2 linked regions of the Astyanax mexicanus genome follow. The protein of the gene in region 1 binds, or shares a complex with, the protein of each later gene. Links are inferred from orthologs where the notes say so. Each region holds a gene or a part of one and is shown on either strand. Other genes may lie near its edges.

What was found. Proteins that work in one complex are often made in the same cells at the same time.
Region 2: the proteins of wwc1 (region 1) and lats1 are in contact, whole or in part, in a crystal structure (PDB 6J68), measured with the Mus musculus proteins. The link is inferred for Astyanax mexicanus from reciprocal best matches to the Homo sapiens genes WWC1 and LATS1. Residues at the interface, in NP_740749.1 of Mus musculus: Asp17, Tyr23, Ile25, Asp26, His27, Arg30, Thr31, Thr32, Ser33, Trp34, Asp64, Val67, Tyr70, Ile72, Asp73, His74, Lys77, Thr78, Thr79, Gln80, Ile81; in NP_034820.1 of Mus musculus: Ala546, Glu547, Ala548, Pro549, Ser550, Tyr551, Gly553, Pro554, Pro555, Pro556, Pro557, Tyr558, Leu562, Leu563.

What each region holds. Positions count from the first base shown.
Region 1 is NC_064424.1:17,690,040-17,702,081, reverse strand, and holds the start of wwc1 (protein KIBRA), read right to left. Parts: upstream 5,541-12,042; 5' UTR 4,320-5,540; coding exon 4,201-4,319; intron 1-4,200. Other genes in the region: arl10 (ADP-ribosylation factor-like 10), read left to right, coding at 11,244-11,378. UniProt on the Homo sapiens protein: Regulator of the Hippo signaling pathway, also known as the Salvador-Warts-Hippo (SWH) pathway.
Region 2 is NC_064408.1:49,368,853-49,378,978, forward strand, and holds the start of lats1 (serine/threonine-protein kinase LATS1), read left to right. Parts: upstream 1-6,170; 5' UTR 6,171-6,389; intron 6,390-8,212; 5' UTR 8,213-8,336; coding exon 8,337-8,690; intron 8,691-9,203; coding exon 9,204-9,354; intron 9,355-9,638; coding exon 9,639-10,126. Other genes in the region: nucleoporin Nup43, read left to right, coding at 576-727, 815-931, 1,699-1,925. UniProt on the Homo sapiens protein: Negative regulator of YAP1 in the Hippo signaling pathway that plays a pivotal role in organ size control and tumor suppression by restricting proliferation and promoting apoptosis.

The DNA.
Region 1 (12,042 bases):
TGTTCTCATCTTCCAGGACAAATCTACCAGAGGCAGACCACATCTGCCAAGTATCAATTATTTTACTTCTATCATCAATAAACATGCATGACTAATACCACAACATGATGGATTGTTGACTTCTAAAAGAACAAAAATACTGAATGTCGAACATTGAAAAAAATAATACTGCAATTTCAAGCGTGAGTTGATGTCTGACCTCAATCATTTTTGCTGACCTAAAATATAACTCATTTTGTTTGTTTGTTTTTTTTATCATTGATTGGCCATTGACCATCTTAATAATTAAAAGTTTATTGCTTTATAAAAGAGTGTAATAAGTTGCTATAAACTCTCAAAAAAAATGTCATTGGGGAGGGGTTCCCCCAGGGCTGTGTGTTCAAGTACATATATATTTGTACTATACTCATTTGCAATTGTTTGTTCCCTGCAGATACATTTACACTGTTTGGTTTTACTTTGGATTAACAAAAATGTACCATCCCCCTTCTCCTGACAGTGTATAATGATTAGATTAGTGTCATATACGCTCTTGAATGACAAAAATATTGTTTAAAGCAATAACTTCTGCGAAAATATATCATCCAAACAAAAGTAGGTATAACGATGGACCTACGTTTAGATGTGTGTAAGCCATTAAAGCTCACCTTCCGCGAAAATCCGATTTTTCTTGTTTTTTGTGGAATACAGTAGGTCTCTCCGAGTTGAATGTGTACACCTGCACATTAAACTGTTTTGCAGCCCCCATTGTCTGCAGGAGCTAAGCCAAGAAATCCCCCCTCCCTCCCTCCGAAAAACGGGTGAATTTTGAATTATCTTTCTGCCTACGTAGGCAGAAACTCACAGACCAGCCCACCTTGGCTCGAGAAACTCCCAGAGGCGGAGCTGAAGCGACGCAACATCACCGCTCATCAGTTAGGAGGTGGGAGGCAGTGAGCGGCAGAGCGGCGGAGAGGCGTCGCAGTGCTCCTAGCCAATCAGAGGAGAGATATTTGCATGCTGTTTGCATGTATGAATATTCATGAGCAAAGCTGGAATCCGGTCATTTTGGACACACCCCTAAAACAGTCCATTAAAAAAGAGCTATACAGAGACACCTGAGCACTTTTTCTTTACAAAAACGGCTCACATGTCATTCATTCATACTAGAGACCACAACTAGACATTTTAAAATGAAAGAAAAAACGACGGAAGGTGAGCTTTAACCGATTAACTGTCTGTGAGTAACAGTACCAGCAGCCCTGTTCTGTTTAGATAGACTGCCCTGCTTAAGTGTGAACTGCAACACGTGAATAATTGTTATATTGACATGTAATCGACACAATCAAGGCATATGGTAAATACATATTTGGTGGGTGGAAATGAGCAAGCAAGGAAATGTGAACAGAATGCTCCAACTGTTGCTCAGCAGGGGAACACCAGCAGCTTCTATATGGGATGTGCTGTGGAGGTGGGAGACAGGCAGACGCGCTGACAGATTTGGGTCAGGATTTGAAATGTTGGTAATTTTTAATCAGCTCTTTTGATGCAAGGCGGTGCGCACAGACACCGAACATCAACGCAATGGCTTGAAAGCCTTTTTATCCTGCCTTTCTATGTGGATCCTTTCAGTTGTTGCATGACAGCCTTGCATAGTTCAAAGAAGATATGTGCACACTGCACCAACTTCAGTCTAGTGGAGATATAATTATTGCCTTTTTTTATTTAAAAATAAAATGACAAAACTGAAGTAATGCCAGACCTCATGCATTTAATATAACTGTGACTGAATTTAGAGCAAAATTTATTCCTCCTCTGCTCAGTTCTTTGAAAGGCCTGAGCTCCAGCAGGACTGTGCCGCAGCCTCTGGCTCTCTTAGACCACTGAGCAAAATGTGCATTTTGACTGCTGTTTACCCGTCCTTGTTAACGTTTGCAGAGCCGTGTTGTGCACTTTCACCTTGTTGTGCACCTTGGCATGCAGTGAAAGGGATTTGGGAGAATCAGCCCTCGCTTTTGCACGCCTCTATGGGCAGCTCTCATGCAGTACTTTCAGGAATGTGTCCTAGGTACTTGTTTACAAATTTCTGCCATCTTGGTTTCCTGGCTACAGCCAAACCTGTTGCACCAGACAAAGAGAGAAATATGTGGCCCGAACACTATCATGTTCCAAATTTGCGAGCTGAGAGAGAAGAACAAAGTAAACAGAAAGGTACAGTAGTTGCCTAATTTCCCTCAAAAATGAAAAATGAATTACACAAAAAAATCAGGATAACCTTTTTGCAAACCCATCTTAAATCAATGCAACATGATCTGAACCAATAACCAAAGCTTAGAAATGCTCATTTAATCCCAAGGCATTCCTGTAAAGATTTTGTGCCAAAGTCCAAATGAATTCCAGTAGTAATACTGAAAACCTCTTTTGCAATAATACAAAAATTGTTAAGGCTCAACGCAAATGCAAGCCTACATATGCATAATTTATGTTACAAAGTTTCTTTATGTTCTCTACAGAACAGAAACACTTTGCTAGGAAATCTTCAAAAAAGAAAAAAGAAAAAGGTGGTGTGACAGGAATGTGTGTGAGCTAGCATGATTCATGTGTGACTAGACTAAAGAGAATGGATGAGCATAACTGAAATAGCAAGCTAGCTATGATTGTAGAAGCAGGCAGGAAATCTGTAAAAGAAAAAATGCAGAGTGAATTGATTTGCCCCACAGAAGTCCCCTCTCTCTGTATACACCACAGATTATGGGTGTGCCATATCGAATCAAAAACAATATATCATGACACAGTAATATTGTAATAAAAATAAGAAAAGGCTTAAATCTGTGTTTATTTTTACACTAACAATATACTTATTTTTATGTTTCAGTGTTTTATTATATCACAAAGAAAATATTGTTAGCATTAAAATACCATGAAATATTGTGATCTTAGCTACTTCAAGCCCATATCGACAACTAATAACATCACAGATCAGATAAATTATTACCCATCCCTTGGGTTCATCCAGCTGGTGGTGTGGTTGAAGGTGTCTATGTAGTTTAACCCTCTATGGCATTAATTAACTTTTTGAAGCTTGGGAGTCCCTGTAGATATAGCTGGCAAACTTAAATTTAGAGTCTGTCTTCTGATAACAGGCTGATCATTTGAATCAGGTGTTTAAGAGCAAGGAAGCACCCAAAACATGGATGCTTTTTGGGTAGGAGGAGGTCTCCACCAGGACCAGAATTAAAAGAGAACCACTGCTTCATCATGATTAATCTGACAATGGAGTTCTAATTCTAATGAAAAAAAAGTAAGTTCACAACAGGAAAGTAGGAATATAGTAAGAATACAGACAGACAAATATACAGTTCTGGAAAAAATAAGAGACCACTTAAAATGATGAGTTTCTTTGATTTTACCAGATTGAAAACCTATGGAATATAGTCAAAAGGAAGATGGATGATCACAAGCCATTAAACCAAGCTGAACTGCATGGATTTTTGCACCACGGATGGCATAGTTATTCAAAAGCAGTGTGTAAGACTGGTGGAGAAGAACATGCCAAGATGCAATAAAACTGTGATTAAAAACAGGGTTATTCCACCAAATATTGATTTACGAACTCTTAAAAACTTTATGAATATGAACTTGTTTTCCTTGCATTATTTGAGGTCTGAAAGCTCTGCATCTTTTACGTTATTTCAGCCATTTCTCATTTTCTGTAAATAAATGCTCTAAATGACAATGTTTTTATTTGTAATTTGGGAGAAATATTGTCTGTAGTTTATAGAAAATACAACAATGTTCATTTTACTCAAACATACACATAAATAGCTAAATCAGAGAAACAGATTCAGTCTTTTAATTTTTTCCAGTGCTGTACTTCTTTCACCTACTCTTCCACATATACATTTTATGTAATGCTTACCTATATGCCTAATTGTATGGGAAGAGATGTAACGTTGTATTAAATATGGATAAATGAGAAATAATGTATGATATGGACCAAAACATTGGTTTGTTTCCCGAGGGCAACACTATGCCTTAGAGGGTTAAGTTAATTAAACTAGTGACTTTTTCTGAATAAATAAAATATTATAAAATATCAGTGTTTATTATTATCACAAAGAAAATATCATTATAGCAAAAAATACACTAAAATATCACAATATTAATTACTTTAAGACCATATCGCCCACCCCTATTACAGATCATAAATTATTAGGTTACCTATCCCTGGGGTCAATCCAGCTGGTAGTGTGGTTGATATGGTCTATGTAGTAGACCTTCCCGTCAAAATCTCGGGCTTCTTCCCAACCCTCTGGCAATGGTAACTCCTTCCTTGGCATGTCCAACTAGTCTCCATGTAATATGCCCGCTAACGTTGAGTCTTGTAGATCAATTTGACGGCGAAGAAGCATGTGTAGTTTTCGGGCTGATCCAACGCTAAAACAGCGCCCAAGTGCCATTAACTGCTGAGGAGCGAGGTGTGTGCGTTTCTGGGTCTGGGAATCTGGGGATAATCCATTATATTTCAGGGTATTCCAGGGTATTCCAACAGTATTCCCTTCTGCTCCTACAGATTCCACCACAGATCCTACAGTTTACAACGGAGCATCCTGGCAGAATCCGTCCACCAGGCAGGAGCAGCCTACCAACAGCCTACCAACAGCTACAGCCGTGAGCACTGTAGTTATCTAGCTAAATATAAAAAAGTAAAAAAATAAAAATAAAAAAAACTGTGCTTATGAAATAAAGAGTTGTTTAGCTAAATATTTTTTTAAAAAAAAGTAAGAGAAAAAAAAGACTAGGCTTATGAAAGAGAGTTGCTTAGCTAAATTAAAAAAGGGTAAAAATACTCTGTGCTTATGAAATAAAGAGTTGTTTAGCTATTTTAAAATAAACTAAGAATCAACTCCGAAACATTACACACATTAGCTACCTAGTTAGCTAACCTAGACAAGTTGCAAACTCAGGCTGTTCCAAAAAGTTTCAGCTAGACTTTTTCTCTATGAAGAGAAGTAACTTAGCAACCTAAGCTAGCTTAGTTAACTAAGTCTAAAACAGGAACCCTAAAATACTAACACTAACAAAAGTTCTTCAAAGAAAACTGAGAGAAAATTACACCAAGCTACGTCTATTCCACGTCCACCCCCGCAAAAACAAACTCCTCCAAAAACCAAAACAACAAAACATGCTGGAGTTCCCCTCCTCAGTGCCTGCTGCTGCTGCTGTCCACCATGTTTACGCTAACCTAGCTAGCCAACGTTAGCGCTGTTGCTGCGTTAGCCTGTTAGCTTAGCAAGTGAGCCAACCCAGCTTACGCTTGTTAACTAGGAGCAGACCCCTCTCTCTCTCCCTCAGTTCTCCCTCAGTTGTGCTCCGCACAACCCTCGCCCTCTCTTCTGACTGCCTCTATCTGTTATCCAGGGTCTCCAAAAAACATTTCTTCAGAAACTCGCCACTTCCAGCCGTATATTTCCAGCTCTCGCTTCTCCTTTAAGTGGCTGCGGTTCTCCCTCAGCTCCCAAGCCAAGCTCGGTCGCTATGCTGCGGTTGGATGAATGGCGTCATACAGGTGATGACCGTAATTCTCCCAATAGCGGAGCCACGTACAGACCGAGCACTTTGGAAACACTCGCTGGCTAACCTTCCTACCTGTCCGCAGCACAACACATCAGTCCTCACAGCGTCTGCTGAGGATAATTTCTGAATAATAATATTATAAAAATATACTAATATTATCAGTACATAAAGCATGTTACATATATATATATATCATATCACTGTCCGATGAAAACGACAGTTGGGGTTAAACGAAGTTTATCCATTAGAATTTTAGTTTTCTAGCTACATAATTAGAAAACAATCTGTCCCTACACTTTTGTCATTTTTTGTAAATGGACCAATAAAGAAAGAACTGCTTCAAATTTACCTGATATAAACTATTTTTACTGTTCACCAACGTCTACTGAAAGTTCAGAAGGTTTTTATCTCTCTCTCTTCTGTTAAGGTGTTGATTTGGAGATACGTGTTTTTTCCACTGGGCAGTAACAACATGATACAGCTCAGTTTCTGAATTAGTTTCTCTGATTTTGCTATTAATAGCTATATGTTTGAGTAAAATTAATATTGTGGTTTTATTCTAGACCTCAAATAATGCAAAGAAAACAAGTTCGTATTAATATAAGTTTTAAGAGTTCAGAAGTCAATATTAGGTGGAATAAACCTGTTTTTTATCACAGTTTTATGCATTTTGGGAGTGTTCTTCTCCACCAGTCTTACACACTGTTTTTGGATAACTTTATGCCACTCCTGGTGCAAAAATTCAAGCATATCAGCTTGGTTTGATGGCTTGTGATCATCAATCTTCCTCTTGATTATATGTCAATTTGGTAAAATCAAAGAAACTCATAATTTTCACGTTTCTTTTTTAGAGCTGTATATTACTGATTATAAAATGCCAGCTGCATCTTTCCCGCCTTTACAGGAGCAAGCTGGAGTGACGTTTCCTGGCTGCGGGCGAGCAAGTGTTTAGCGTAATTCCTTCAGTCCGTTTATTGCATTTACAGAGTGCGGCTCCATACTATGAAGTGCTTTATCATATATAACACATTCACTTTCATTCAAGCTGTATTTATTTGATCAAACAAGCAGCTGAACAACAAAGTTAACAGGGCCCGTCCACTTCCACAGCGGAATTAAACACGAACAACGCCCTCCAACGGAGGAAGGGTGAACATCGCCAGTGTATTTATTGCAGCTGAGAGTTTAAAAAGGCACACTGAAATTTTCAGAACACGATTAGATAGGATGGTAATTAAATTGTGTAATTAAAAAGTGTTATTTGGCTTTTAATTTTAACTTTTCAACTATTTTTTTACACTAATGTAGTGCAACATATGTCAGAGTGATGTAGTTATGATTGAGCCATTGGCAATAATACACACATTTACATTTTTGTAAAAATGTTATGTTTTAAGTAATTCTCTGAATATATGTTTTTAGAAACAGCAGTTACTAATTCCAGATGTCCCAAGTCTCCTGGAAATATCTGTAACGGCTCCCTGATGCCCGCAAGTCAGATAAAATCACCCAGAATCTAAAACAAGTGGCCCAGGAGTAAACACATACATTTGTTAAAGAGAATTTGACTTTACTAATTTACTATATTGCATCAAACATTTCACAATAAAACCCTAACATTTGGCTAACATGAAATAAACAAAAAAGTACTATAATAAATAAGCAATATAATTATTAATACTTCTATAAATATTTATACATAAAGAATTTATATACAGTGTGCATTTTGTATTGTTTATACACATAAGAAATACAAACAAAATGTCTTTCCATTTTTGTCAGTGAAAAATCTTTCCAAAAATCGTGAATTTAATCAAATGATCAACAGATTCATCAATACACTCTAGTCATGTCCATTAAAGAACAGGGTGAAAGAGGATAATAATGTATACAGAGAAACAGGAGTACTGCAGTCTGTAATAACAACTACAATGTGTCCTATTATTATTATTATTATTATAAGATGGACAATGAGTGTAGAAATAAGAAGGAGGTCATAATATTGTGACTTGACTGTGTATTATAGAATTCAACTCATGCATGTTTTTTTTTTTGGCTAAAATTTTTACTTACTTGTGCTTACTTGTTTTTGAGAAAATTAATCAGCTCTGCATCTTTCGTGCCATTATAAAGTTCTTCACATTGTCAGTATTAACTTAAGTTTTACTATTAAGTTTTATCTATTGTAATGGAGTAAAATCAAACCTGTTTTATACATTAAGTTTTTTACAATTTAGATTTCAAGCATCCACACCCAATTTCTATTTCTAGACTGAAGACTTGCAATGCTGCTTTAGGAGGATGCTGGGACTGCAGCACACGGTCTTTACCAAGTTTGCCTGCTATTGTGTTTATACCTGGCAACCTGAGGTGTGGAAATAGAACTGGGAAATGGGCAGGGTCAGAGGTGGAGGAATCAGAGTGTAAAACACAAACAGTTTTCCAACATACTAGATGTCAAGAGATAAGCAGGTTTTCTTAATATGCTGTATGATGGCATATGCTGATCATTTTATTACTTTGTAAAGTAAACAATGAATAAGTAAAAATTATGTGAGTCAGGTACATTTTTGTGATTGTCCTAATAGATTATTAATATTAACTAAGAATTGCTCCACAAGTAAGCTTGTGTCTGGACTTGTTATAGGGTAAGTAAGCTACAGTAGCTGGGTTATCATGTATCTACAGAGAGTTCTTTCTCCTTCTCTGTGGTACAGGAACATACTTTAATCAAATGTTCTGCAGATAACATTCACTGCCTGCTGCACATCTTCTGAACATGAAGATAATGACTGCTTTTTATGTAAGTCATCACAGCTGTATCTAATGAATATTTTTAATGAAGAACTGGCTCTGTTCCTGCTTTAATCACAGAGCAAAAAGACTGCATGGTCTGCATGCTGTTGGTGACTCCTACTGCAGTAGTGGGCCAAGCATTAAACATGGGGCCTCTGGGATATGTGGTCAGCACAGATCCTTAAAAACTGAGGAAGCAGTAATTGTACTGCACAGATATATCTCAATATCATGCCTAGCTGTGTTCACAACAGCATGGCCATAGTGATCTTGGTACTGGATGAAAGCACTTATTTAACTGCAGTTCTTTTAACTGACATCCAGTGTCAGGAATCTGACGAGATTCAGCTAAGATCCCTGTGGAATGGAATGCTGCTTAAGAATTTGTTTACTGAGCTCTATACTGGTGATGATAAATAAATTAATCCTGCTTTAAGATAATTTATTTGGTTAACTGAATCTGACACCCTGTGTCTTATAAATAAATGTTCAAAAACCCATCTACCTGTAATGGAATCTATATTCACACTGAACACTGTTCAAATTTATAGCATCAAAATCCAATTCCTGAAGTCTATATCCATATATTTGGTTGCTGTATTAATGACACACATACTGGAGGCTAAACCTAGCTAGTCACATTAATGAGCTTAGTGTAACATGCAATTCACTTAAAGATTCTGTATATAAAACTATGATTCTTTCTGCCCGTAAAAGTCACACAAGGGTACATGCATCTCAGACTAAAATAAATGCTTTCTATTAAGCCACCGCTCCATTTTTAATTCGCAGCACAGAGTTATGTATGAAGCCCAGAGAAAGTCGTGGAACATCCCGCACTCTGCCATCTTGCATGTGCAATGCTGCTTGGGGGTCACTGTCTTGTCTCTCACCCTCCTGCATTCACATTGACAGGCAACAGATTAACAGAAGACCATTCATTTCCTGTGGAAGGGGTCAATTTGTAGCCATGACACAGTGACAAGTGGCAAGCGACAATTTGGAAAAAAAGTAAAGCTAGGAAGAAAGTAGTGGATAGCTCGATAACTTGGTAACTTGGGTTCACACCCACCCACGATAGCGTGAACAGCCTCAAACACACCCACAAGTGACAAGCGTTGGACAATGCAACAAAACTGTTGCCTGTTAGCGTCAAAGCAAAGTTAGAGAAGGCAATACAAAACGAAACATTTTAGCAGGGCAGGACTAACATGCATATGTGTCTAAACTGGCTATAAACACCAAAAGCACAGAACAACACACACAGAGGGTGTGTGACTATATTCTCCACTGAGAATGCCTATACTCCACTGCATTTGCACATAGATATTATTTGTTTGTTGCATTTTATTGTCAGTTTAATGCTTAAAATGTAGTATATATAATATTTAACCACTGAAACTAATAAAATGAAAACGCTCTATTTCACAAAAGCACTGATTTTCATATCAACTACTACATGAATAGAGCATGACATTTGTGTAGGCCACAGACATAGGTTCAGGATTCAGGATTAAAGGGGTTACAACCCTTCCACCATCTACAACCTAGCCATCTAGCCAACTCACTGTGTAATTAATTTAGATGAAAGTTATTTAGTTGGACCTAATAAGTGCTAATACTCCCAAAGTATCACTTGAGAACAAAGTTCTACTTCATCCACTCAACCATTAAACATTTGTGATTGGATTTCTTGTGCGCTTTGATCGTTTTCCACTCATTAATAAAGCTGTTCAGTAGGTTTGCATTTACATTCTTTTCTGTGGTTGAATGCCCTGAGCCCCCAAACTCCACATGTTTAAGCTAGAATATACTTAAGGGCTTATCACCTACTTGCCTGTGACTAAATTGCCACAAAGTTCACTTTTCTTCTCACAAGGATGCAGAGGTTATATTTAAAAAAACAGCTCTTTATTTTCTGATGTTTAGATATTGTGATTTGGTGAATTGTAAATTATATATTTTTTTAAAACCACAAGTATATATATATATATATATATATATATATATATATATATATATATATATATATATATACATATATATAGCTCTGGAAAAAATAAGAGACCACTTAATGATGATGTTCTGAAAACCTTTGGAATATAATTAAGAGAATGATGGGTGATCACAAGCCATCAAACCAAGCTGAACTGCTTGAATTTTTTAACCAGGAGTGGCATAAAGTTATCCAAATGCAGTGTGTAAGACTGGTGCGGGAGCTCATGCCAAGGTGCATTAAAACTGGGATTAAAAAAAACAAATATTGATTTCTGAACTCTTAAAACTTTATGAATATTATAAACTTGTTTTCTTTGCATTATTTGAGGTCTGAAAGCTCTGCATCTTTTTTGTTATTTCAACAATTTCTCATTTTCAGCAAATAAATGCTCTAAATGCTCTAAAATTGTTATTTGTAATTTGGGGGAAATGTTGTCCATAGTTTATAGAATAAAATAACAATCTCCACTTTACTCAATCATATACCTATAAATAATCAAATCAGAGGAACTGATTCAGAATCTGAAGTGGTCTCTTAATTTTTTTCAGATCTGTATATATATATATATATATATATATATTTTTTTTTTTTTTTTTTTTTTTTTTTTTGGCCAGATGTTCTTTTCTATCAGGAGAACAGCCCTCCTCTTTCTCCTCCTCCCACAGGAACGCCACGCCCCGCCTCCCGCCTTCGACCAATCAGCGACTGAGAAACAGGCGGGCGCTTCTCAACACAAAACAAGCGAGGCAGTCACGTGTGCTGGTAACCAGGCGCTGAGCTCGAGCGGCACGGCGCGGCGCCACAGCAGCAGCAGCGGCTCCACCACCACCAACCCCACAGCCAACAGCAGCTGCGCCGTCCCCCCGGCTCCGCTCCGCCTCGCCCGGCCCACATGGTTCTGCTCCGGCACATCTCTGTCGCTCTCACCGCTGCGGTGACCGCCGTCGGAGCCGCTTTATTCGTAGCTGTAAATTTACTGTACAAGAGGCGCGTATGGACGCCGGAGGACTACTACGTGTTCAAGGAGGTGAGCTGTGTTTGTTTTGTGAAGTGTCTCAGTCTCACAGCGCCGCCGCAGAGTTCCTCAGGTGGGGCAGAGGTGAAGATTACACTGCGCACACAGTCACACAAACTTCCGGAGCAGGAGTTTACCTGCTGAACCTGACCGTGTGTAGCTTACAGCTCTGAGGAATACTTCACTGAGGTGTTCCAGCCTTTCAAACGGCTCCTCAACTGAGGAGTAAATTATTATTAAGAATATATAAGTCTAGTCAGCAAAAAAGGAGGAAAAAGAAGTGAAACAGCATAAAAGGGAAGGAAAGTAGGCTACCTATTCCTAAATATTTACAAGTTGCAATTTCTAAATATATATCCTAATGTTTTACATAAAGTTTGGCAGAGAAATATATATTGCAATACATTTTGTTAGCTAACATAATACCCTTCTCTCTGCATGTTTTGGATATGGCCAGTGCTTTAAAAACACTGTCAAACTGACTTTTTATTTACAAAGGAAAGCAAATATTTGGCCACCCAAAATATTTTGAACAAAATGGCCAAAAAGTTGGGAAGAATATGTAAAAACATCAAATAATAAAAAAAAAATTGGTGTGTTTGTTAGGATGTTAAAAATTGTAGTTTTGTAATTGCCTTTTCTTTAAAAAGCTAGACAAACATATCTTTTGGAGGCA
Region 2 (10,126 bases), on another chromosome or scaffold:
ATTATTATTATTATTAATATTATTATTATTTTTACTTCAGTCAGAATGTCCTCTTGATTTGAGTCTCTGTTCATATATTTATTTCTCTGTTTTATATCTGGAAGCATTGCTTTCTTACTTTCTAAACCTCTAAAGAAAACTACTTGCTATTATGCAACAGGAAATGGCCACAGATATTCAGATCTTATATTGAGAAGAGTTTAAATCATGCTATTTTTACAAGCAATGTAAATATCAATTTCTGCTTCTGGATTGAATCTAAGCCGTAGCCTGATGCAGACTTCCCTAGCATACTGGAGCAAAGCATATGAGAGCAATTGTATTTTTTAGTACTGTAATCTGGCCTTTTTATTTTTTTTTTGTCTCCGTCAACTACTGTTTGCTGGTGTAATTGCAATTACAGACCAGACACATCAGTTCTTCTGCATCAGTTTAAAAGATCTTTACCTGTACAGGGTCAATAAATAGCTTCAAAATAACATTATTTGCAGTTACAGTGTTTGATATGTTTCATGCAGTTCCCTCCATTCTGTTATAGCAGTATAGCAGTAATACAATGTCTTTTGTTTCTGTAGCACTGGGGACAGAGTGCCACTGCACTGTGTGGACAGACACCCAAACCAGCAGCATATAGTGGCCACTGGAGGCCAAGATGGTATGCTATGCATCTGGGACGTGAGGCAGGGCAACATGCCCTTCTCTCTTATGGAAGCCCACTCTGCTGAAAGTGAGTACTTCATCTGTCAGTATGGAAAGCTGCAAGTCAAGTCAACTCATTGGCACTGATTATTGTATCTTTTTTGTTCTTCTCTAGTGTGGGAGGTCCATTTTCACCCGACAAACCCAGACCACCTGTTTACTTGTTCAGAAGACGGCTCTCTACTGCACTGGGAGACCTCCTCTGGCTTAGACACCCCCTCATTCCTGCAGAGTAAGTAAAATCCAATGGCTTCCAGGGTCTGACTAAAAGAAAACTAAAGCCTTTACAGTCGAAGTTAGACCAATGTCCAGTATTACTTAATCCAAGTGGCTTAGGTTGTTAAAATTCCACATAGCAACTTCAGGTACACACTGTCAATCAAACATCATTTTGAATTTGGATTTCCAATTACTCGAGAAAATTACTTATCCTGAAAATATCTTAATGTAACTTAAGTATTTTGCCATATTTAGCATTTTGAGATTATACCGTGTTTATAATAGTATGAAAACACTCATATAAGTAACAACGGTTTGCTTATAAGGAATGAGATTATCTGAAATTGCTGTCATCCATTATACACATTTTACCCGACTGGTTGTCCCTGATGATATGATGCATCAGAAACGAGGATGATCTCATGAGGTTGTAAGGTTTGGGATTATCTTTTTGAAAGTCTTATTGTATTGTAAGTAAGCTTTATTTGAGTGCATTGAACATCCGTGTTAGTAATGAGTGCCACTTAAAGTATCTGAATGCAGGGGTGTTTACAAACATTTGGACATAGTGTTATGATCCTGCATACTGACAAAAAATATGCCCCCTTAAAAACTGTAGATAGGTGTCCCCAAACATTAGAAGACAGTATATGGGCAGATTATGGGCTATTCTATAGTGTTGATGCTGCATGTTCAGTACCTTTTAAAAGTGCCTTGACTTTCAGTCTTATACAAACTTCAAATGTCTTTCCTCTTTTATTTTGTGTCTGTGTTTCTTAGGCCGCAACACCAGCATCATGTCCCGCAGTGCGGCAGCTCCTGCAGGGGGAAACCAGTCCCTCATCAGTGCCTGGCTCAATGGAGACTCCAGCAAGGGCAGGCTGGAGACCACTCACATGCTTCCCAGCCAGACTCTGTCTGTCAACAGTCTGGATGTGCTTGGACAGTGCTTAGTGTGTGGCACTGATGGAGAGGCAGTTTACATAAACAGACAGGTTCCTGTGTGATACGCAGCACCAAAGAGTTGTGATTTATTTTCAGTAAATGTTCACCTGACCAACAGTTTTTGTTTGTTTTGTTATGCTTTCCTTGGATAATGCACTTAATAAAAGAGTGATCTTTTTATTTGAGTTTGAAAGTGTGCACTGCATATGAATCGTCACAAAGTTTATCAAATGTTCGCCAAAGAGGTCATTGCATTGTAAAAAAATGACAAGACTTTTATTGGACTATTATTTATCAGTCAATTCAACTTGTCTGTATTCCTGATGTAATTGTAATAGTTGTCATGATGTAGACCTTTTATTATTTACCTTTTGATATTAATTTGACTAGTAGGGGTGAGTGATATTCTTGGCCACGTGATGTTAAAATATATTTTATTAATTTCAATAATATATCACTGCAACAAAACAAATGTTAAAGTTTTATTTCGTAGAAATAATAGTTTCAAAAATTTTGTAGCAAACCAAATCTGTACATTTTGTTTATTTTGTAAACAACATAACATACTAAGGCTCTAATTGTGTATAAATAATTATTTTATGAAACAAAAAATGACCACACTACGGAAGCGCAGAATGTTTTAGGCATGCAGACACAATCATGCAAAAAAAACCTTTTCAGTAAATAGAAAATGTACAAAAAATGGACTGCTTTCAAAACCAAATGCTGCCATTAACATTTATTTTCTTCTTTTTTTCTTCAATGTTGATGTGTTTTGAGTGGTAAAATATAGCATGCCCTTTGTGACTAGATCGTAAGATTGATGAGATTTAACTACTTGCATTTACACTTGGTTGTCAGATGCATCTCCAGTTAGACTGAAATTTGATTTGTGTGTGGGTTGGATATGAATAACTCTAATTGGCATATTGCCCTATTGGCTGCCCTTTATATGGGTGTAAAAATGTTGAGTGACAGCTAGGGTTTCCTTTTAATGCAAAACAATCTGGTGATGTACCTGTCAATTAGGTAATGTGTCTAAAAAAATGTTGTTAAGTGCCCTCTAATTTGAAAATTGGATGCAGTGATCCATGTTAGGTGGGTAATTTTAGGAATACAGTTTGTTTTGCCTTCAAATTTAAAAACAAAATGTTCGCTTTTTATTTCCTGGCATGCATGAACTTGTAGCAAGTGTCTAAAACAGTGTAAAGGTTGTGATGTCACTGCTTTCCAACTTTACTTTATTAATAGTGCAGTTATGCCAAGATTCCAATAATTCTTGGACACGTTTTAATAGCTTGATTTAGTTTGAACTAAGTGATTAATTAAAGCACCTAAATTAGAAGTAGAGAGAGTTTTACTGCAATACAAGCAGGATAAACAATGAACAGGTACCCCAATGTCCATATTGTGTGCTAGATTAGTGTAGGTTACAAACATATAACATGCCCATATTAGTATAGTTTACTTGTGGTGTTTTACAGGGTTTTACACTAGGGCCAAGATAAAACTGATCTGAATAATTATAAAACTGTCGATCTGAGAGTGAAGGCCTGAGGTTTAGGGTTACATACATGTTCTAACTGCACACAAGCAAATGCAATATTAGGACATTTATGGTGGAAACATTGATTTCAGTCCTTTGATTTCAATATTTTAAGGCAAGCAGATTTTTATTTTCTTAGGTCATCCAGTGTACCACCTTGGAATGCTTCACATCACAGTTTGAGAACCACTGCCCTACAGGAACACAAAAGATACCAAGTTAACATGATTCACAAGCAGTTATCAGGCTTGCACACAAATAAAACCATATAACAATCGAATCAGTATATCTGAAGTACTAAAACCTAGCTACATAACTACTTTGATACAAGACTAGCATATGCTGCAAAGTCATGTCTTGTAACTGTTAGCATGGTTTGCTAACAGTTACAAGAACTGCCTTGATATCAAGGAACAAAGAAAGACTTGAATAATGTAATACAAACAGGATATACAGATTTAATGTAAGTATAGTTTGAATCATGGTTGAATCAATTTGCACAAAAATAAACATAAAGGGTGTCTAGCAGATCCAATATTGTGTGATTTTGCTTGCTAGGACAGGCAAAAAATGGATTACATACTATTTTATACATCATACATAGTAGTGCTCCACATACAATGGCAGATATATTAAAACTTTCCAAAAAGCATAGACTACAATATCATCCATTATTGTTGATGTGGAGGGTGATGCTGCATCCATATTCTTGTTGTTGTCTTTTTACTTTTTTTTTTAGCCCCTCTCCAATTAAATAGTGGGATCTGATTGGACGGTGATTACATTTTATTAAATTCTGTGGTGCTCCTAAACCAAATGCAATCCTGTGTAGAGTAAGGTGGTCACATAGGTGGAACATGGGCTAGGTGGATTGTGGGTGAGCATGGACTCATGAGGCCATATCATTAAAGGGCATCATTATTTGACTATTGACTATTATTTTGACTGTTTACATTCACAAATGTAAAATACCTGTATCTGTGTGTAATGTCAATGGATCTGTCCCTAAAACGCATCACATGCGCACATTAATGTAATTATGTGTATAAACGTCACCTTCTTCACAAACAACAAAAAATGTCATATGAGACACGACTCGTAGCTTTATAAAGGGAAATGGATGAGTTAGCAGCTCATATGTGGAGCATCTTTTGCTGGAGTGGAGAATAAACAGCTTGTCTGAAGAACATGGCCAGGTCAAGGAGTAGAAAAAAGGCCAGGCGGCTTGTTTTTGCTATTTTTCAACAATAGCCAAGAGATGTGTGAGAGAAGCACATAACGCATGCGTAAAGGCAAAAAGACGCATGAACTCTGATTTGACCGTTCATATTTTCGCATGTCCATGGATCGGATACATATCTGATATAGGACTGTATATGGAAGTGACTCAAATCTGATTTTAAATTAAAAACATTTAAAAAATAAATGGATTTGGCATGTTTACGGATTTTTTTAGCCTGGTAATATAAACGTATCCTGAATATTACGGCTCATATTTAGCCCTATTTTCAGTGTACAGCCCAGAGGGGGCCATGTTTAACTCCTCCTGGTCCCATTACTCACACACATATGTGGGGCCAGTTTTCCCACTCTAAAGGGCACTTTTAGTTATGTTTAGTTAAGTTTTAGTTTAGGAATGTGGTGTATTTTTTTTTTTTACATAAAAAAGTGGTGAGCACAAGATAGTAAGCAGTGAGCACCATATTGTATAGTCACTGATCTGTACATGACTTTACAGACTGCTACGTTGTGCTGTGCACATGCTCTGCAATCCTCTATCCAGTTATCAAAACTGTGTGGATTATTTAGCTTGTAATGTAGGCTGCTTTTGCAAAGATCGAGCAAGCTAACTTAAAGACAGCAAATTTAGCTTGGTTTAGTTTACATGTCCCATAAGAGTTAGCTGGTTATCGTTAGCTCTGGGCTTATAGCTACCTTTCGCTACCTATCTAAAACATTCCACACTAAAATAAAGTAGTTAAGGTTAGCTAAACTAGCTAGCTAGCTAAGAACTTTATTTCACTGTGAAATATGTCAGTTTAAACTATAGCTTTCTGGCTACCATTATCTGGTGCTCACCACATAATTTGAGGTGCTCACCACTTAGTATCTGGTGCTCACCACTTAGAATCTGGTGCTCACTACTTAGTATGTGAGGCTCACGCATACTATCTGGTGCTTACCACTTAGTATGTGGTGCTCACCACTTAGTATCTGGTGCTCAGCACTTAGTATGGAGTGCTTACCACTTACTATCTGGTGCTCACTACTTAGTATCTGGTGCTCACAGCTTAGTATGCAAGGTTCATCACCTACTATCTTGTGCTCACTACTTAGTATGTGAGGCTTACACTTAGTATCTGGTGCTCACCACTTAGTATCTGGTGCTCAGCACTTACTATCTGGTGCTCACCACTTAGTATGTGAGGCTAACCACTTACTATCTGGTGCTCACCACTTATTATGTGAGGCTCACCACTTACTATCTGGTGCTCACCACGTACTATCTGGTGCTCACTACCTAGTATGTGAGGCTCACACTTACTATCTGGTGTTTACTACTTAGTATGTGGTGCTCACCACTTAATATCTGATGCTCACCACTTTTTTACGTAATAAATACACCATGTCCCTTCAGGGGTTCCGTAAAAACGTGTGTGTGTGTGTGTGTGTGTGTGTGTGTGTGAGAGAGAGAGAGAGAGAGAGAGAGAGAGAGAGAGAGAGAGAGAGAGAGAGAGCTGAGCTGAGCTGAGTGATCTCTGTACGGGAGCAGAGTGAAGCGTTCACACATCCGGGCATCTCCGCTCTGACAGACTCGGAGTGCCAAGGCGACCGTGTCAATACAAAGCCGAGTCTTTAGCTGGAGCTAGCGGATCTTTCACACACTTTCACTGAGTTTTAGCGGAGTTCCTCGGCTCCTCAGACCGACACTGCGCTGTAGATGTTGTCTGGGTTCAGTATGGATATTCTTTAGTCGACGGTGAGTAACTTTAAGTCTGTGCTGGGTGTCCGGGCTAACGGCTAAGCTAGGCTCCGCTCTCCGCTCTGAATCGTTAGTGTTTAGGCCTCGGCGCTCTGCTATCACCAGGAGTGAACTTCTCCCAGCAGAAACACCGCTGTTTATAGTGTTTATTCTCAGGAGCAGAGAATTCAACACCGCAGGCTTCGAAATGAGCGGGATAAAACTAGTCTTTAACTAGAGTGGTAGCTAGTGAAGCTGTGCTGCTAACTCTGCAACATTAGCTTAGCTAGCTTAGCTTAGCTAACCTGAACTAGCCAGGCTAACGATCTTCTGTGTTCAACATGAAGCTCTGTTAGAAGAGTCGCTACTGAAAGATAAAATAACACCGTACATTTAAATAACTCTAGATAACATCGAACTAACCCTGTTTAAACACGGCCGCTGGAGGAGTAATGTTAATGTATCCTCTGTTGGTTGGTTTGTTTGTTTGTATAGCAGCTGGCAACTAATTGTTGCCCTTGTATAACAAAGTGTATTAAGTATATATATTTAAATTATACTCAACATGGAATTAAAATATGTACTTAAATGCATAACGTTAGTAAATGTACCATTTTGAGACAATTTATGGCGACTTAAGTATATTTCAGTTGTAATTAAGCTCTATTTAAACACAATATAAAAGTTTTAAATTGTGCTTTTGAGTGCTTTTTTTCGTATATCTTCTGCGAACTTAAGTGGATTTAAGTATGTGTTTTTAGAAACATTTTTAATACTCTTGAAGTATGTTGTAAATGTACTACTTTGCCTATTGATGCACATATTGTTCCTTATTGACACTGGGGAAAAATACACTAAAGTGCACTTTAAGCGGTATTTAATGCCAATATTTATATTTTCTATCGACACAACGTATCATTTAAAGCATATTGGTTAAAATGCATTTTATGGAAATACAGAGAAAATATGTTTAATTTGTATTTTTCATAAAGTATATTAAACCGCAAATGCATTTTTAATATTCTTTACCTAATTTGAACATACTTTTAATACTCTTAAGTACTTTTTAATACACTTTTTACAAGGGTGGCCAGGTTAGGTAGTTGCCTAGTTAGTTAACTAGGTTAGTTAACTAGCTTTATTTAGCCTTTATTTATCGCTATATAACTTAAATAATATATAATTAGTTGTAATAACTAGGTTAGGACCTGGGTGAGCGAAACAATACATTCAGATGTTGGACGACCTTTTTTTAAAAAAATAAAAAACTTGCTGAAAAAAAACGTAAAAGATTTGAATTCGTTTTTTGTTCAGCAGTCAGCAGTTAATTTTATTGCTTTGTACTTGTTACCTTTAGAGTTTTATTAGGCATCTTTGGGCTAGTTAAGTTAGCATTGGCTTAAACGTTAAAAAGTTGCTAAACAATTAGTGTTATTAATATTATTATAAGCTGTTAATAGTGGCTAGTCTGTGTTTAAAAAAAATTGTTGTTATTCTGGAAAGATGACTTCACACTGACGCTTTGCTTGTTTCACAGTAAATCTTCCAGGTACTGACAGCAGGGCAGAGCTCACATATTGTATCCACCTGCACAAATACTTTCATCTGAGGTTTACGTTGCAAACTGTGTAGAAGGATAGATAGCATATAGGTTTGTTTATGTATGGCTGTCTTATCAAAATAAGTGTGTGTCCGCTTAGACATAACTAGTGTTGTTGATTCTTGAGTTGATTTAGACTAACTTTATATCTAGACCTTTATAGTGAAACCATTCTAATACCCTGTTGTTCTTTCTCCTTCTTTTTGAATGTTGTTTGTTTGTCTGACCCTTGCATATACAGACACTTGGGCATCGCTCTGGTATGCAGGTAAAATCCACTGCTTGCTGTTAACACTTTCACAGTGTCACTGTGCACCGTGCAACATCTCATTCACACTGGGGATTGGTGAGATACATGGTTTTTCATGAAGAGAAGCGAGAAACTCGAAGGATACAGGCAGATGCGGCCGAAGACGTTTCCGGCAAGCAACTACAGTGGCAACAGTCAGCAGATGTTGCAGGAGATACGGGAGAGCCTACGGAACCTCTCCCGCCTGTCTTCTGATGCTGGCAAGGTGGAGACAGGTGGGGGCAAGAGCCTGCCAGAGGACCCGCGCCAGCAGGGCCGCAGTGCCAACCCCAAAAACCCCCACCACAAAGCCCTGCAGGTGATTCGAGAATCATTATTGCCATTTGCCAACGAGCCCACCTGCACCGGTCGTGGATATGAGGTTAACATGCAGATGCTACAGGAGCTGTTGGCGGCAGGCTTTGACGAGGTAGGAGAGCCGACCAAATACAGCACATAAATTCCCCAGCATGGGTTAACAGGTTTACAATATGTTTGTCAAAATAGGAATGTTCTCTTGTCAGGTGATCATTTAACATAGTTTAGGAATGACAGCAGTGGAATGTGGACAGACAAGTTTTAGCAGTAGTACAAGGCATGGCGCAATGTTTTGCGCACTTGTTTTCAGCCACAGTTATGTGTTGGATGCTTTCTTTTTGTTAAAATTTAAGCTCTGTTGGAGAAAACACTCTGATGTTTTGTTTGGTGGAATAATTTAGGCATAACATTTTCTTATAGCCTGCATAAGATGTTTAAATGCAAGCTCTATTCATGTAAACAATAAAGGAAAGCTTGTCTTTTTGCGCTGTTTCATATAATTCACTTATTTTGTTTGCATTCGTTACCTGCAAAACAGATTAAGTAAATGTGGAGGCATGTTTGATGATAGTTTGACTTTTTAAATGTGTGATTGTGTTAAATGTGTGTGTGTGTGTGTGTTTAGGAGCTGGTGATCTGTGCTCTGAGGAATACCAACAATCGCAGTGTGGGGGCAGCTAAAGAATACATCAGTAAGATGAGCTACCAGGACCCAGTGAGAGAGCAGATGGCAGCTGTAGCAGCACGTCCAGCTAACGCAGCCATCAAAGCAGCTGGTGGGTGTGCCCCGCCTCCGGGGAGCAATGTCCACTCTTTGGCTCATTCATAGAACCAGTGTTCTATTGCATTGTGGTCACTTATTCTGTAGGAATGTCACATGGGAGCAATACCAATAAACCTGGAATGGTGTTTGTGCTTGTGTGTGTTTTAATATGTTTGTATGCTGCCGAGATGGCCTGTTTTAATGCTCTTAATGTTGCCATGTCTCTCCTACTGCTGTTTGAAGGTGGTAATTGTGTGCGTGTGTGTTTGCGTGTGTGTGTTTGTGTTTCCTACACAGGCCCCTCTCACATCCAGCAGCCTGTTCTACGGAGGCCAAGTTGGAAGGGCTCCAAGGAATCTCTGGCTCCACAGTGGCACGGAGCCCTCATGGCTGATGGCATCATGTACCGCTCTAACAGCCCTGGCCCTCAAGCTGACCTCCCCAGATCTTCCACCTACCCCCAGAATCTTGCGTCTGGTGTCAGCAGCCAGCGGGTGAATCCTCCACTTCCACCTCAAGTTCGTAGTGTCACTCCTCCCCCTTCTTCCTGGGAATCAAACCCTGCCACCAAGCGCTATTCTGGAAACATGGACTACCTCGGGCCCCGCATTTCGCCTGTTCCTCAGGGGCAATGGCCTGACAACTTTCCAACCCCTGCAGGCCAGGCCCAAAGAGGCATCAGCCCGGTGCCCATAGGCCGCCAGCCCATAATTATGCAGGGCTCTGGTGGAAACAAGTTCAGCTTTCCCCCTGCCTGGCCACAGAATGGCTCAGGACAGGCAGAG